2 linked regions of the Alligator mississippiensis genome follow. The protein of the gene in region 1 purifies or fractionates together with the protein of each later gene. This does not show direct contact. Links are inferred from orthologs where the notes say so. Each region holds a gene or a part of one and is shown on either strand. Other genes may lie near its edges.

Region 1 (8,744 bases):
CATTAGCTAATACTACATCCTTACACTACCTGTGGCCCTACAGAAATTTTCATTAGAGGATCTTAAGATGCCTTAAAAATATGAATTGCTTTTGCAAAATGGCTATCAAGTATTCTTCCCATTTTAGATTTGGGTAAACTGAGGTACATCGCATTACACATCTTGCCCAATATTATCCAGCAGGTAAAACAATGATCTAGAGCACTGATTCTCAACCAGCACCTGAGATGCCATGAGATGCCTTTAAAGCTGCCACAAAATTAGCACTGTTAGTTATGCACACACCTACACATGATTAACAAGACTTCAAATAAGAATTCATAGCATCAAAAACATTCTGACCTGTTGCAGTCTTTCTGGTTTCTCTGCAACAGAAGAATGGCTCTATTATTTTTCCATAGCCAAAAACTGAAGGAAAGCTAAGAGCTGACATTTTCCAAGTAGTGCCTTGAGTCTTACAAGGTTGAGAACCACTGATCTAGAGACAGAAATTTGTAATCCTAATTCCCAATCCCCTACTGTGACAAGACAGGGTTTCCTTCCATTTTGTGCAGATGGCATTCAACACCATCAAATTAGCTTTTGGAGTTAGATAGTATTTCACCATAGTATATAGGATACATGCTTTTAGTGTCATTTTCATGCTCAACTATGGCAGTCCACCTGCTATACGGGCAATGACATACTATTGATGAACCCCGTGCAAGAGGATGCAAAGCTAATTCAGATTTTCAAAAGAATGTGCATGCATCTTAAAAATATGTACAGTTTTGATTTATGGGATGACGTATCTTCTAAAATGTTAAAGAAGCACTACTAATACTAGCCCAGGAGTCAATGGTTTAACATGTTTCCTTGGCAATTTTATTCTATCCATAGTATTAAAAGCAACTACTCCTTGTTTCTTACCAAAACGCCAATTTCCTCATATACAAAAAACCCCCGTCACATTATACAAAGCACCACCTCCAAACAATACACCACTGCATGCAGCCAAAACAAAATCTCATACAAATCCACCTGCAAAGAAAAATTCCACTCCCAGTTCAAGCCTTTGAATACTGAATTAAAATGCACACATTTATGACAATTCCAAAGACCTAAAAAAATTTTTTTTGTCATGAAAACACTGACAAGTCTTCAACCATGGCAGAGAAAACAGCAACACTATAATTTAGCAATCTTCCCAACAGACTAAAGACTAATTCTAATAAGGTGTCATTTCTGCCTCACATTTATGATTATCTTCAAGAATGAAAAACGTCGTTTACTCCAGAGCTGGCAGGGCTTCAGTAATAAGAGCACGGTGATCTCACAATAACCAAAGCATTTTTAAGGAAGACACCCGCTGTATTATAAAAATAGCCTGTTCCACAAAAGGCGAGGCATGATTTCACACTTAGCTACTTTCATGACAGCCAGAGCCTCTGCAGCTAACTGCCTTACCTACATGCTATGTTTTAGTGATCCAAGAAAATTATCAGAGTTAACATCTCTCTCCAGTTTTACTCCAAACCAGAAAAAAAAAGAGAGAAAAGTATTTCATTAAGTTTCATCTCTTGTCAGGTTCCCAACAGACAGGAAAGATTTTATGGGGAGTAATTAATTTTTTTTTGGTTTAGTACACTGAACTGATTAAATTGATATAGAGACACTGCTCTTAAGAAAAGGTGCTGCCTGATACACAACCATGAAGAAGTTTGGAGCAGATGCTTGGCTATTTAAAGCAGGTTCTTGCTTGCCACAAAGGCACCTCCAAGGGAGTAGAGTCAGTTGCCAACTGTGTTGAGTGCGTCAAATAAAAAATACATCTATGGTTGTTTGTGGCAACAACTTGTGGTCAAGTTACAGCAGAGTTGGAGCCCCAGGTGCATGTGGGGGACAGCCCCCTCCAAACACCCCAATGCAATCTTAGACAAACCACAGAAGCAGGAAAGCAGCAGCAGTGACTCAGTCCCCCCAGGCAGCAGCTTTGGAAGTGACCCCCAACACTTCACTGCACACTGCCTGCACCAAGGAAGAGTGTGTGTGGGGGTTGGGGGAAGGGGGACACCAGGGCACTAAGCAACAGGGTGGCTCCTGATCCATAACAGAAACCCCTAGACAGAAAGAGCTCAGGTGGGAGCATTCCCTGCAGGTGTGCTGGGGGGAGGGGTTGCTCTGGAGGGAACCTAAGCCCCAAATTCAGCCCTGCTCACACTCATGGGGATGGGACCCACCCCCCCTTTCTCCCTGCCCTGCTGCTCGGATCTGGGGCACAAAAGAGTGAAAAGCACCCAGCAGATGAGGGGGGGGGGAGACGGGGGACATGACACACGACCCAAGGGGGTCTTTAGGATCCTTCCAAATCTGACGGCGCCTTTACTCAGGGCCCACAAATCCAGCCCCCCGCCCCCTGCTCCTCCTTGCACACCCACCCCAAGGGCAGCACTCTCCCCCCTCATGCAATGAAAGGCAGTCGCCCCCTGCAACACCCGCCCCCTCCTCCTTCACACCCAGCCATCATGTTCTCCCCAGCCCCACACAGCTGGAGGGACATACACAGCTGGAGGCACACACAGAGACTTGGGTGCCTCTTGCCCACTCTCAGTGACGCAACCTGCGCGCACTCCCCACTTGGCAGATGGGGCTGAGCAGCCTCCTGCCCAGGGAAGGGGTTAAAGGGGGGCAGGTAGGCCCCCCCCCGCCGGGCAGGTGAAGGGACCCCCCAAGCTTTCCTCTTCTTTCAGGAGACACCAAACCGATGCAGCCCGTCCCAGCTGCAGCCCCCTACCCCTGCAAACTTCATCCCCATCCATCCCCTCCCAGGAGCAGTGGGGGCGCGGAGGGGGAGGGAGGGCGGGGAGAAAAGCACTCACCTTGGCTGAATGCAACTTTGGGTCGCTCCCCCTGAGGTGGGGGCGGCCGGGCAGGGAGGACCGGGCTGTTTCCCGGCGGCGGAGGGGGGTGCTTCAAAGGCGCGCACCGCGAGCTGCCCCCGGAGAGACGCGCATCACATGGCGCGGGCTGCCGAGCGCTGCTCCCCGTCCTGCCGCGGGGAAGAAAGGGAGGGGGCGGCTGGGAAGAGGCGGGCGGGGGCAGGAGGAGCGGAGGCGGCTGCAGCAGCTGGGAGGCGCGACGGCACCGCGGAGGAGCTGCTGCTGCTGCAGCCGGGGCGGGCGCGGCGCGAGGCGGCGGCAGCGGCGGCTGGAGTCCCGGGCAGCCCGGCGGCGGCGGTGCGCGTGCGGCGGCGGCCCCGGTGTGCGGCCACCCGCTCCCCGCGCTCCGCTCCTGCTGCGGCGCCTCCTCCCTCAATCGCTACATTGTTGACATTCGAAGGCTGACATCATCCCCCTGCCCCCCGCCTTCCCCATTCACAAGTGCGTTACGCAAACCACGTAGCACTCCGCCGCCTCAGCGGACAGCAGCTCTACGCACGGCAACACGCGTAGCGCCGCTTCGGGACCCTCGGCGCATGCGCATCCTCCCCCCCGCCCCGGGTTGTCGGAGAGAGAATCGCGCCGGGTCCGCGCGGCGTCTCGCGCGCGGCCGAACGGGACGCTGGGAGTTGTAGTTCCCGCTGACCCTGAGGAGGGGAGGGGCGGGGCGGTGAGATGAGCTCACTGGTTGTCCAAGAAGGACAAGGGCAAGTTGTGGTTGGCCTGTGCTCCCTTACACACACACACCCCCCTTGGCCCACTCCACTGCCACACACACACACCCACTCCCTCACCACACACACACCTGACCCACTCCCCCACCACACACACGCGCACCCTTCCCACTCCATGCCCCAACCACACACACCCACACACTGCCCCACTCCCCTGCCACAGACACACACACAGCCCCTTCCCACACCCTCCCCCCACCTCACTCTCCTACCCCACTCCCCCACCATCCACCTACCCACTCTGCTAGGATTCATGGAGCTGGGCCCATCAGGGCATGGAGCAGAGGCTCAAGCCAAAATGGTCTAGAGAACCGAGGATAGTGACCTAGGGCCACAGCATGACAAAGCTGCCATGGTGCTTTGCCAGGCCGGGCTCCGAATCTAGTCACCCCTGCATCAACACGACCGGAGGGCGGTTCCCCATGTTGATTCCAGGCTACCTGGTCTATAGAAGGCAGGGGAGAATTGTGTGCCGGCTGGGTGTGAACCCGGGCCCTTTGTCGCGCTGCACGCGGGCTGTGGCCGGCAGCCCGGGCACGCCGGGTCGGAGAGGGCGGGCGCCGAGCTAGAATTAGGCACAGACACGTAACGGTTGATTTTAAGATTGTTTACTTACACCGAGATGGTCGCGGTGCAGGCTGAAAAACTTGTTTGAGTTGCGGTTACAAACAGAAAACACGAACTATCACATGGAGTTTGCTAGGCTCCACGTAGACAGAACTCCGGATGTCCAGGACAAGCGCGCCTCAAAATAGAAAACTCGTCGATACGTCTTATAGAAAGTTACCGCTCAAAAACGGGAAGAGGTGGGCGGTGGATCAGGCCTCCAAACTCCTCTGAGTAACACTCAGGGCTTCGATGACCCTGCCGTGTGCCCAGAGTCCCCACGAGATGGATGTGGAGTCCTCTTCGGCTTGGGCGGAAACTGCTCAAGCCTCTTATATGGCTAGCAGGCCAATCGCTAGCCGCCATGTGGGAATAATTTAGAACTAGCCAATAGCGGGACACAAATTTGCATGCGAAGAGCGGGAACTCTTTGCACCGTGCATTTCTGTGTTGCAAAGAAAATGCACCCTGCAAAGACAGCTGCAAAGTGGCGGGAACTCTCTCCTTTGCACGCAGGTTCTCTGTACAGCAAAACTCACTGTGCAATGAAGCTGTAAACCTACGGGGATAATTCTAGTGCTGAAGCACACACAAAATCAGACCTTTGGGTCATGACAATATGCACCTTGTAGACTAATCAAAGTAGATCCATCTATCCATCTATTGATTTATCTGTACCACAAGCTTTCATGAGCTGAAGCTTACTTCATCAGATGCGATGAAAGGACACAGAAAACACCCTGACCTGACCAGGTCCCTGAAAATCTCCTGCCCAGATCACATTTCCAGACCCATATATCCCACTAGGATGGGTGGCCTCCCACCAGATCAGAAGAATAGGAAGAAGAGGTCACCTCCCATCAGATCAGAAGAATGGCTAAAAAAAGAGCCCAAAGAGCCTGAAAATAACATGAGAGATTGGGTTCTTTTGCCCTGTATTCTGGGTTTGAAGATGTGCAAGCAAATATTTTCCAGTCTCCCCTCCCCGCCATCAACCTCAAAAAAAGTGAAGGCTGAGATTCTTGTGCAGTCACTTTGAGTCAAGCAGCAGGGGCTTTAAAAAAAATGCCATATACCATGAGATTTGGGATGAAATCCTGAGTTTATAAATACTAACATTAGAACAGGAGTAAACAGAATTTAGTACGCCTAATGTATGTAACCGTGAGAAAGGTAATTTGCCATGGTAGTCTAAAGTTAGATAGAAGGCAGGGCATATGGCACCATCTAAATTAGCTCATTCAGAGGCAGAAGCCTTTATATGAAAGCATCTCAGGAAGTAGGCTGTAGAAATGCTGTTCCTCTTAATGGGTTAGCCAATAAGGTGCTCCACCATATGTAACCACATTCAGGTGAGAAGAACATTTTAGATTAAAGGGATCCTGTTAAAGATGAAAGTAAGCAAGCAAATGATTCACACCAGGAGCTCTGAATGAGGTATTAGCACTTGAGGGATTTAGCGAACTGGGATTTTTACATTTTACTAAAATGTAAAAGAAAATATTCCCAAGAGAATATACAATAAATGTTGGCTTGTTGCAGACAAAGCTACAATTAGTACTTAACATTTCTGTATTTGTGAATGCTTTGGGGGTCTTATGTCAGATTGTTTATTTTCATTCTATAGGCTACAACTAGATCTGGACAGGTTACAGAGGTGGGTGGATGATAATAGGATGGGTTTCAACACGGACAAGTGCAAGGTACTGTACCTGGGGATGAAGAACCAGCAGCATACCTACAGGCTGGGGAACTCCCTTCTTGTCAGCACAGAGGCAGAAAAGGATCTTGGAGTCACTATTGATTCCAAGATGAACATGGGCTGCCAGTGTGGGAACGTGGTCAGGAAGGCTAACCGCACCTTGTCATGCATCCACAGATGCATCACGAACAAGTCCCAGGAGGTGATCCTCTCCCTCTATGTGACACTGGTCAGGCCGCAGTTGGAGTACTGCATCTAGTTCTGGGCGCTGCACTTCAGGAGGGATGTGGACAGCATCGAGAGGGTCCAGAGGAGGGCCACTCGGATGATCAGGGGGCAGCAGGGGAGGCCCTATGAGGAGAGGCTACGGGACCTGAACCTGTTCAGCCTCCACAAAAGAAGGTTGAGAGGGGATCTGGTGGCCACCTATAAACTTGCCAAAGGGGACCAGCAGGCAATGGGAGAGTCCCTGTTCCCCCGAGTACTACCAGGGGTAACAAGGAACAACAACCATAAGTTGACTGAGAGTAGATTCAGGCTAGATATCAGAAGGCACTACTTCACAGTCAGGGCGGCTAGGATCTGGAACCAACTTCCAAGGGAAGTGGTGCTCACCCCTACCCTGGGGGTCTTCAAAAGGAGGCTAGACAGCCACGTAGCCAGGGTCATTTAAACCCAGCATCCTTTCCTGCCCAAGGCAGGAGGTCAGACTTGATGATCTGCTTAGGTCCCTTCCGACCCTGCCAACTATGAAACTATGAAACATTCTCTTATGTTACTGTGATTTTACAGAATGTTATTTTCCATCTCATCCAACAGCTGTATGTGGAGAGGAACTTCTGATGCCCCCTTCTGAGATTAGAGTTGCTGCATCTGATGGGCTGTATTTTCAAGCGTAATTAATGGCACTTCACACAAACATACAATGTCAACATTTTACTCAGGGTAGAGTACATAGTGTGATTTTTCTGGTATTGATTATCCAGTATTGTCAACTTTGTGAAGATATGCAGCTGCAGAAAATGAATGTAATCTGCCCCCAAATTTATGATTTTCTGTCTATTATTCAGGTAAAATACTGCTCATAGCTGGGTTTTTTGGCCCTGGTCATGAAAACATGTATGTGTACACACACCTTGTTTTAATCATATTACAAGTCTAATTCAATGCCATGAGTCTACTCAGGTATTCAGTTGTTTACAGCTGAGCTCAAGCCTCAGTCCACAGGCCAGATCCAGGCTACAGAACTATACTATCCAGCCCTCAGGGGCCCCAATGGGTCTCAGTCTCAAAATTTGATGGCAAGGGAGCAGCAGCAACAAGCGTTTCTTTTCTGCTGCCAAGTTTCTGGGTCCAGGGGAGCCCTGCATGCTGGAGAGCATGCTAGATCAGTGTGGAGATGTGGCCTGGGCCCCAATCGAGCTGAGGGAGGCGGAGTGGAGTCTGATCCTGGCACATGGGTCATGATGTGGCCTGCAGACTGGCCCCAGGCCATTTGTCCAGCCTTTGGCACCAAAAGGATGAGCAGCATTGGTTTACAGGACTAAGGGCTTAAAATGTTTGCCTCCATTGCTTTGCCTTCCAAAGGGATGCAAAACGAATTAATTTTGATAGAACTGAGTGTCAAAAATAATACCATTGTATTAGTCGCACACTTTCAGAGAGCTTCTGAAAGCAAGCATTATGTTTCTTATATCATCAGTTTCACATGCATGTTCCATAGTAAACCTTGCAGAGTTTGGGGGAGACATTCCATGAGTGAATCAATGCTAAACTGAGGGTGATAACGTTAAGAAAGGAGACTGAGCGAGGAAAAAAAAATACAGTCATGTTCTGTCCAAGTGGAAACCAAACTAAATAGCTTTATTGTACAAACCTCCCAAAACTCTGCTTATATCCTACACATCTTCAAAGAAATAATTCTTTACTAACTAATGTTTTAAAATCAATGTAAAATAAACATAAAACTAAAAGCTCTCAGTCTGAGTTAAACTAGCTTTGTAATTAATTCAATCCCATTTTAGTCAGTGGCAAAACCTCCACTGACGTCAATAAAAAAGGGATCATGCCTCCTCAGGGGAATATTCAGTGCATTGTGAAGAGAACTGGAGGCCCACTGGGAGTTAGGCACCTAGGTGCTTGTGAAGATCCCACTAGGTACCTAGCTGCATCTTTAGGTGCCTAAATACCATTAAAAATTTAGCCCTAGGGAACCAAGTACCAGAAACAGAAAATGATCTTTAAATTCTTTATGCACCATTCAGAAAGTGTTTACAGTGTTCACCAGTGAAAGTACTGGTTATACACTAACGTTAACAATTTGAAAAAGATTTACCAACGACAATGATAGAAGACCAACGAGGAAAATATTACATGTAGCTGAATGAAAGGAGACTTTACAAAGAAAGAGATGTGCTATTTTTTATATTATCTATATTGTATTTTGATGGTTGGCAACTGTAATGTTTTAAAGAGATATCATCATCAGAAAAGCTCTCCAAAATGGAAACATTTTCTCATAATAATAATAGTAACCCCTTAGATGAAAATAAACATGGAACTTGTCAATCTAGAAGTTGCATACTTTAGAGGAATAAGTCACCTAAAAATAAATGGCAACCACCAAACTAGCTTCACAAAATATATTTACAAAAGCAGAAAAATTAAAAGAAAGAAAACAAACTTTTTAATAAAATATTTTATTATTTAAATCTGAAATAAGTCTTGATAAAGGTTTTTTGGCCTCTAGTTAACACATGACCTAACTTTATCTATGTCTTAATT
Region 2 (8,318 bases), on another chromosome or scaffold:
CACCAACCATTTTGTCAAATGGTCCCACCCTATGTTACATTCACTGGGGAACAGAGAAAGGAGAGCTTTTTTCTGCTTATTAATGAAAGCCAACAGGAGGTAGTTCACCAGAAAAATGTAACAGCCCTTTCCACGTGCACTAAACAGAAGCCAGAAAGAAGTAGCTATTGTGAATGGGTCACCACCACTAGCTGTGTAATTTCACACTGAAAAAACCCTGTTGCTTACAAGTGCAGACTGGCCACAACATGGAAAAGCCTCTCCCAGCCACCTGAGCAGGCTGCCGGCTAAAGTGGGCTTCTCCAGAGAAGCAGAGCAACTTTACCAAGCTCAGGGACCCAGCCCTGCCCCTTTAACTGAGCCCTTTATTAATGTGATCAGGCATGGCTCTCACCCAACACCAGACAACGGTTTTCTAACCCAGCTGTGACTACACCAGAACCATACTGCAGGCTGCCTTCCCCTATCCTGTGACAACCTGGTATTAAAAATCCCCCATGCCAAGGTACTCTGGGATCTGATATTCACTCTGGATGTGGGAGCTCTGTCTCTCTGCTCCATGCTAACTTCAAGCAGCCACAAGGAATAAACCCAGCATTACTGGCCCCATACTGTGAGTGGGCACAAAGAAGCTACAAGCTGCCCTTGAACTCTGAGCCCTAGGTGTGTGCGTCCACATCAGGTACACCCACGCCTGGGACTGCAGTCCACAGCGGGAAAGTCCACCGCAGGGTTTTAACAGGGTGCATAACCTTGGGACACATGAAGACCAATGGCATTGGCACCTGGGCCTTAGAGCTTTGGAAACTTTAGCCAGCCTGGTTCTCTCCGTTCCAAATGGACACGACTTCTGCTTGGGAGCAGTGCTGTACCTAGACGCCTGGTGGTCCTGGCCAAACTTTTAGTATTGCCTGAGCCAACCCTAGGGTGGTGCAGGACACAAGGCAAATCAGCCTGTGCGGGGCCCCCTTAACACTGCATGGGGTCATGGTACCCCTGCAAGGGGTGGCTCTCCGTGCTTCTTCCACGGCACAGGGCTGAGCCGCCAGCTCCAGGCAGGCCCCATGGGAGGGGCTGCAGGCACTCCGCCCGGCTCCGCAGGGCCCCTGCAAAGTGCAGGGCCTGGGACGGTCGCCCCGATCCACTGTACCCTAGGGACGGCTCTGAGTATTGGGCCCCCTTCGCCAAAGATAATGATTTTTTTTGTTGTTGCAAAAGTCTTTATCACATTTGTGGTACTGATGTATTTAAATAGTTCATTCTCAACTGACAACATTGCCAGTCCCATATATGCACAATATTAAAACTTTTTTTTTGCAATTGTGATTTTTTTCCCCATTTTTGGGCTCCCTCTTTGTCTGGACCCTGGGCAGCCACCCGGTTCGCTCATGCCTGCGTCCAGCTCTGCTTGGAAAAAGGGAAAAAGGAGCAGGAAATGAAAGCCAATAAATAGCCAGTTCTGACTCCTTGATCTGCTGCCTCAGCAAATGTTAGAGTAGCCTGGAGGGTGCTCTAAATTATGCTATTTCTATGTCTTTACAGGAACCATCCTACCAGTTGAGGGTACTTGGAGCACTTAAGGGTCCAGCCACATTTCCTCCCTGCTGTTCTCACCCTCCCCTGTGCCTTGGGCTGTTCAAAGGAACATGAAGGAGCCAGATATGCTGGCTTGACACCTCCCCTTGTTACTGGGAAAATCCCAGCAGGATTTTCTGCTCCCTTCACTACCCGAGCTGTGCAAAAGGGGGTGGCGCGAGACAGAGATTCTGGCTCAACATATTGATGATGTTTGACATCTTTGACATGACATCTTTGGCCCTCAAGCTGAGCACCACTGGCCTAGATTGGCAGGTAGTTTTTCAGTTCAAATATAGTCACAAGCCTAATCACAGAGAGACTAAAAGCCTGGTGTCGATATACAAAACTCTGCATCTTTTTTCATTAAAAGTCTAGGCTAGTTCACCCTGGTCTAAAATTGGGAAGACGTAGTGCTCTCGGGGGTCTAAAATGTTGCTCGCACGGTCGACGCGACGCTCAGCGACGAGGAAGCGCCGCCACAACTCGGGATTTCGTTGGCCAGTCGCAATATCCAACGAACGGTTAAATCCCCGGCTCCTGAAAGCAGACACCGGGAAACTTTTGCTTTTAAGGACAGATGTTTCCTTCCTTCACCAAGGATTTGAAAACACCAACCATCCGCCAAAAACCCCAAAGCCTTTAGGTTAGGAAGGAGGTGATTTTCGTGACTGGGGTCACAACTTCTGCACGCGGGAGGTGGGCGACAAGACGAAGACGGGACCAGCAAGTCCCAGCGCCAATTCTGCGGCTTTCCTCGCCTGCCCTAGCCTGGAGGTTGCTTCTTTCTTCCCAGGAACCTTCCCAGGGACCTCGCTTGCCCTCGCCCAGATGTGGCAACTGGACACGTGCCTTTTTCTGCGGCCTTGCGGGTTGCGCAAAAGCCCCCGGGGGCGGCTCCAGGAGGAAGTGCTTGCAAAGCAAAAGAAACTGAAACCGAAACAGGCAGGGAGGAACAGGCCGGGGGAAGGGAGGTGAGGTGGGGGTTCCTCCCCGCCACGAGCCAGGGAATAGTGTAGCAGAGGCTCCGACGACCCTCCGCCGGGAGCCCCGCGCGCTTCGCCAATGAGCACGGCGCCCGACCGCGCGCGCGCTCCGCCAATCACGAGAGCCCTCACGCTTTCTCCCTACCTTCCACATGAATGAACCGCGTGGGCGTGGCCTCGTGACGCGGCGGCGCCGGCAGGGGCGTGGCCGCGCGACGCGAGCCGTGACGCGTGGTTCCCGGAAGCGGGGCGGGCGCTGGTTGGCCGGGCGGGCGGGCGCGGGGGGCGGGGCCGGTGCGGGGCGGGGGGGGAGGGGGCCGCGCTTGTTGTTGTTCCCGGGACTGGCTCGCAGGGAGGGCGGCTGCGGAGCCCGGCCCCGCCGCGCGGGTGAGGGGGGCGCGGGGCGCGGAGCGGGGCGGGGGTCGGGCCCGGCCGGGCCGAGCCGAGCCGCTGAGTCAGCGCGGGGCGCACGTGGCCTGGGCCCGCTGGATGCGGGGTCGGCCCCGCCGCGTGACTCAGCACGGGGCGCCCGGCCCCACCCGGGGCTCTGCTCCCACGTGGCCGCGGGGCCCGGGCTGGAGGGGGAGCACGGAGCCGGGCTGGGGGCTCAGTACCAGGGAGAAGCCCCCTCCGGAGGAGGGTCCCCAGGGCTTGGCCCCCGTGGCCTGAAGAAGCCCTCGCCTGTTGCACAAAAGTTGGGCGGTTTGGGAAGGGGCGGGATGCTGCCTGGCCGGGGTCCGCCTGGGTCTCGAGAGGCCGGCGAGACCCCGGCTGTGCTTGGGTGGACCTTGGGGGCGCTGGAAACGAGCCAGCGGGTCCCCGGTTGTGCCCTGCGCGCCGTGCTCGGAGACGCGCCCGGGTCGCCCTGCGTCGGGCGGATAGTAGCAGAGGGCGCGTTGCTGCGGGAGAGCGATGGAGCAAGTGACTTCTTGGTGGCAGGGATGGGAGCGACGGCCCGGCAGACCGAGGAGGGGCCGTGCTGGAGGGGTCCCTGGCTGGCCGGTGGGGACGCAGGCCAGCCGGGGACGAGGTGGCTTGCTGGAGGGGACACCTGCCAAGTAGACCGGTGGGGTTTCGAGACCGCGCCCTCCGCAGAGGGCGGGTGGGGCTTCCTGAGAACCGCTTTTCTCCCCCTGAGCGGGTGGTGGGGTGGGATGTTAGCTCCGTGGGGGTGGAGAAGCCTGGCTTCTGCTCCCTTCCCCCCCGACAAAGGAGTGGCACTAGTGAGAGAAATGTCCAGGCCGCGAGGGAGGGGAAGTGAGACATGTCTGAACTCTAGAAACATGCCATGGTCAGTTGGAGAGAGAGCTCCTTCCTCCTCCTCCTCCTCCTCCTCCTCCTGTGGCCAAGGGGTGCTGGGACTCTGCTTCCCTGGGCTGTGCGGGGTGGAGGAGAGGGGACTCGTTCTCCAGCTCCTGGAGGAAAGCAGGCCGGGACAGCTCCACTTAGGAGCAAGCGCCCTTTGGGGAAAGTGGCAGTGCAGGAAATGGAAAAGCTGCCATTCCTTCTCTGCCCTCCTGCCCCCTTCCTAGCTCAGCTCTGGGGGCCGGGGAGAAGGCAAAGAGGTGAGAAGCCAAAATGCCCCTGTGCCACCAGATCCAAAGCTGCACGTCTTATTATTGGAGGTTCGGTCCCTGGGCGCTTGGCATGTGCAGGCAGGGGCACCCCTGCTCCCACGCCAGCCCAGCCAACATGCTGTGCCGCGGTCCTGCAGTGGCTTAGTATGGAGGGAATTTACCTTGCTGCTTGCTCACTGATGGAGCCGGTGCTTGCTCCCTGCTCTCTGTCTCTTCCGTGTATACACTGTAATGCAGAGTAACCTTCCTCCCGCAGTCACTTCCTAAACATGATGGATGCTCCGGTTATCCAATGGCCGTGCCTAGCATTGGCAGCACCGAGGGGAGGGAGGATTAACCCTGTTTGTACCTATCCTGGTGACAATATGGAGGATGTTTTTTTCAGGGAGGAGATGGTTACAGCAGGGAGAGGGCTTGTGGGTTTTGGTTAGCAAGATGCTCCACATACTTTAGACTTTGGGGCTTTATTCCTGCACTTCGGGCTAGCTGTGTTAAATGATCTTGGGGTAATTCATATGCAACCTCAAGAAGTATTTTTAAGTAAGGCTACAAGAGGTCCTTCATATTGGGGAAGTTTCACCTATGTTCTTTCCCCAACCTGTTGCAGCGGTAGTGGTTTAAACCTGTGTCTGGCTTGAAATAACTAACAGAGTTTAATGGTGAATGAAATAAAGCCTAAGCAGCCGAGTGTTTATAATGGCTTTCTGAAGCCCCCTGGTTTTGCACTGAAACTTTGTAACAGTCGGATGTTTGGGAGGGGAAGCAGGGACAGCTGGAGCTCTTGGCCCCCCAGGCGGTATGGCAGGCAGTCAGGGCGGGTGGGATAAGTGCGCTTGCAGCTCGTTTGAGTAAATATGCAGCTGCGAAACTCTCCAGCAGTGCTGACGCTTGCAATTATCAGGGAATTTCAGGCTCAGCCCCCCATCAAGAGGCGCAGGCGGTTTATGCTCCTTTCTGGGCTGTTGTTTCAGGCTATCTGCAAACTCGGGCAGATATTGCTGCATCGCTTTTTGCTGCTTCTCTCTTGTTTGGAAGGCTGTCTCACTGTGGGCCTGGGATGCCAAAAAAACTTTTTTTTAAGTAAATGAAAGCAATTATCCTGCTGCTCAGCTCTAAAACTGGGCGCATCCTGCAGCACGCTTCGCTGTCTCGCAGTCTGGGTGCCTGAATAACCATCCTCATGTCTGTCATCATTCACATTCACATGGAGGTGGAGGTTGGACTTAGTCCACGGGGCTCAGGAGAATTCACAAGCCCTCATCTCAGTTCTGCCTCTTGGCCCCATAGAAATCGCTGACCACGTACTACCTTGATTTCCCCAGGTCACAAAAGTACTTTTTCTGTGCTATGGTGATGTGGGACTTAACTCATTTTTGCAGTGTATTTTCGTTTGATCACTTCCATAAAACGCACTGTGGGGAGGAGCGCTGCCCTGTGTCTGCTGTGTCTGAAGCTGTGAGCAGTGTATCCGACCTCTTCAGTAGCTGCCGTTCCCCCTCCCTCTTCCCCCCCTGTAAGTCCAAGGTCTCTGTAATGTGACACACAGGCACACTCTCATGATAGCCTGAATCGGCCGCTCTGTAACCATAGGCTCTCTGCAGCATCTGACTAGGTTGTTTACCAAAGCATTGAAGACTGTCTGATCCCTGTCCAGGCTTCCCCCGAGAGAGCCTCCGAGTCGTGTCCCGGCAGCTCTCAAATTCTGTCTGAAGGTTCCTGAATCTGTTCTTTGCTGGTGGATGCTGGTTCTGATCCATAAGGGAAATGGAAAGCTGGCCAGCTGGGCGAGTTTAGTGTGTAGAAAGTAAACAGTGACTCACCCCTCCCTGGTCTCTTCTCTGGGCTCATGGAGAATTGACTGCTTTGCATGTGTTTGCTGTCTCCTTGATTCACATCATCAGCATCCCCCCGCACCCTCCCTTCATCCAGATGAACGACAAGTGTCAGTTTGTCTTGCAGAATGCATGAGGACTGCTGAAGCAGGGGGAGGACCCGGGGATGATGGGAGGGATGGTGCTGTCTGCATTTCACACTGCAGCGTGTTGGAAATCCATGTCAGGTCTCCAAGGGGCAGAGGCACAGAGCTTGGGGCTTAAGCATCTGCAGTTCCCTTCACCTATAAGACCTGATGTCCTCCTTGGTGGCCACATTCACGCGGCCAGCTTTGGAGAAATGGTCGGCTGATGTGACCATCTCGCGGGTGTCTCCTCTGGTGTGTGGCGGTGCGATTGTAAGATCTGGGTAAGTGTGTGCTGCTTTCGGGGTTGAAATGCTCTGTGTGGACCAGGAGGAGGGTGGGAGGTTCAGGCTTCTGGCAGCAGCGGGAACCAGGACTTGCTGCCTAACCTCCAATAATCTGACCGCTCATTGATGGCTGCTTGGAGCTTGAATGTGGAGGGTCACCAGTCTTTTGAAACTTTTTGCCTTTATGTCCCTTAAGAAAGGGAAAGAGGGCCAAGTAGCTTGTGGGTAAACTGGAAGTGTGGATAGGTTGCTGACCAGCTGCCTTACAAATCGTCTCACTGTGTTTTGGACTGGCTGGAGGCAGTACTGCTGATTTAAGCCTCTGGGCAGAATGGAGATTCTTGATGTGATGAGTTGTACAAGACGGAGAGACCTCTACCATGCAACCATCCTGGCATGGCAGTGCTCCTAGGGAGGAGAAAAGCGGTCATTGGCCCTTTTGGGCTGAGGATTGTGCATCTTCACATTGCTGTCCTTGCCGTCTCGCGTGTGTCTGAATGGAAGCTAAACGCTGATGGGGCTTTCTGCTGGATAATTTTGTCCTGGCCACTGTTCCATTTTGGGATAAATGGGTTTTAATGTTCAAGGCTGTGTACAAATTACTCACAAGTGCATCCATGCCTGCTGTGAGGTAGCAGCTATGACTGTCACTAATGCATTGCTTTGTAAAGTGCTTTGGGAGCCCCAGCATGTGAGGAGTGCTATTTAAAAACTGATGTAGTCTACTGTGCTCTTCTTCCTTGCAAGTCATCTCACATCGCAGTGCACTCCTGCCTCTATCCACTAGTTAGGGCTGTCTATCTCCCCTGTCTTGAGCTGCCTCTAAGAAAATTAGTAGGGGTTATCAGTGGTGCCAAACCAAAACCACGCAGCTTGGAATTCTGTCCCGGATTCTCCTGACAATGTTGACAGTGATAAGGGGAGGTGAACAAAGGTATTGGGAAGAGTGCCAGGGGATCATTTTCGTCTAAAAACATGACATCACTACAACAAAAGCACTTCTTAATACTAAAGATGCCAATCTGTAAGCCCTTATCCCCTCATCGGGGGCACAGAACTGTCTGCTGTTCTTGTATGATACTCAGAAGTGTGCCAGGCTGCTTGCAAAATAAAGATGTAATGTGGCCCGTGCTCTAAAAAGCTTCCATGCTAACTTTAGATATGATGAAGCAATTGCAATTAAGAAAAGAAGGGCAGGAATAGGGCAGAGAAAGAAAAGGGAGCTTCAAAACACCTCTGCAAGCTGTGCAGTGGACATCCCTCAGTGTGGAATAGTTGCATCTGTTTACCTTTTTACTAGAAGGGTTCGTCTTTGGATTCTAAAGATAGGAAATGCCACACACTGTAATATATTTAACTGCTTGTGGGCGATAAATGGACAGTTTTAATCAGTACAGATTGTAAGTATTTTTATCCTCGCTTTACAGATGGGGAGATTGCGTCATATTTTAAGAAACCAACCCAAGGCCACAGCGGACGTAATTATTGGTCAGGATTATAACTCTGAGTGCTTGTTCCAGGTCCTGTGTTTGGACCCTGCCTGCAGGCTGATTTACTTTATAAGATGATGAGTCTTGGATGAATGGTCACCGAGTTTGTGATTTTGATAGATCTTATTTGGATGCTCTCCATAGCGCCGTGTTAAACTCTGGCGGGTTAGGGGTAGGGTTAGTGATGTGTTTTGCAAGTGTCAAAGGGGCATGACCCAGCCTCTGGGACATACTGTTCCTGAATAGCCGCTCTTCACAGGAGAGGCGGCTTGTCTGGATTGGCGTTTCTCAACCCGAGGGTTGGAAAGTGGGTCTCAAGAATATATGAAAGGGTCAGGAACAAACTTAAAAAAAATGGATTCTCCTTTAAAAGAGAAAAACATGGGAAACTGCGACTTTTCCCTTGCAGGCTGGCAGAGCTGCAGCCTGCGAGGGGCTGCTTGGGA

The links.
Region 2: the proteins of BACH2 (region 1) and MAFK purify together in Homo sapiens (co-immunoprecipitation; 3 studies listed by BioGRID and IntAct, with this or other methods). This does not show direct contact. The link is inferred for Alligator mississippiensis from reciprocal best matches to the Homo sapiens genes BACH2 and MAFK.

What each region holds. Positions count from the first base shown.
Region 1 is NC_081824.1:77,764,916-77,773,659, forward strand, and holds the start of BACH2 (transcription regulator protein BACH2), read right to left. Parts: upstream 3,438-8,744; 5' UTR 2,859-3,437; intron 1-2,858. UniProt on the Homo sapiens protein: Transcriptional regulator that acts as a repressor or activator. Binds to Maf recognition elements (MARE). Plays an important role in coordinating transcription activation and repression by MAFK.
Region 2 is NC_081836.1:50,336,312-50,344,629, forward strand, and holds the start of MAFK (transcription factor MafK), read left to right. Parts: upstream 1-4,395; 5' UTR 4,396-8,318. UniProt on the Homo sapiens protein: Since they lack a putative transactivation domain, the small Mafs behave as transcriptional repressors when they dimerize among themselves.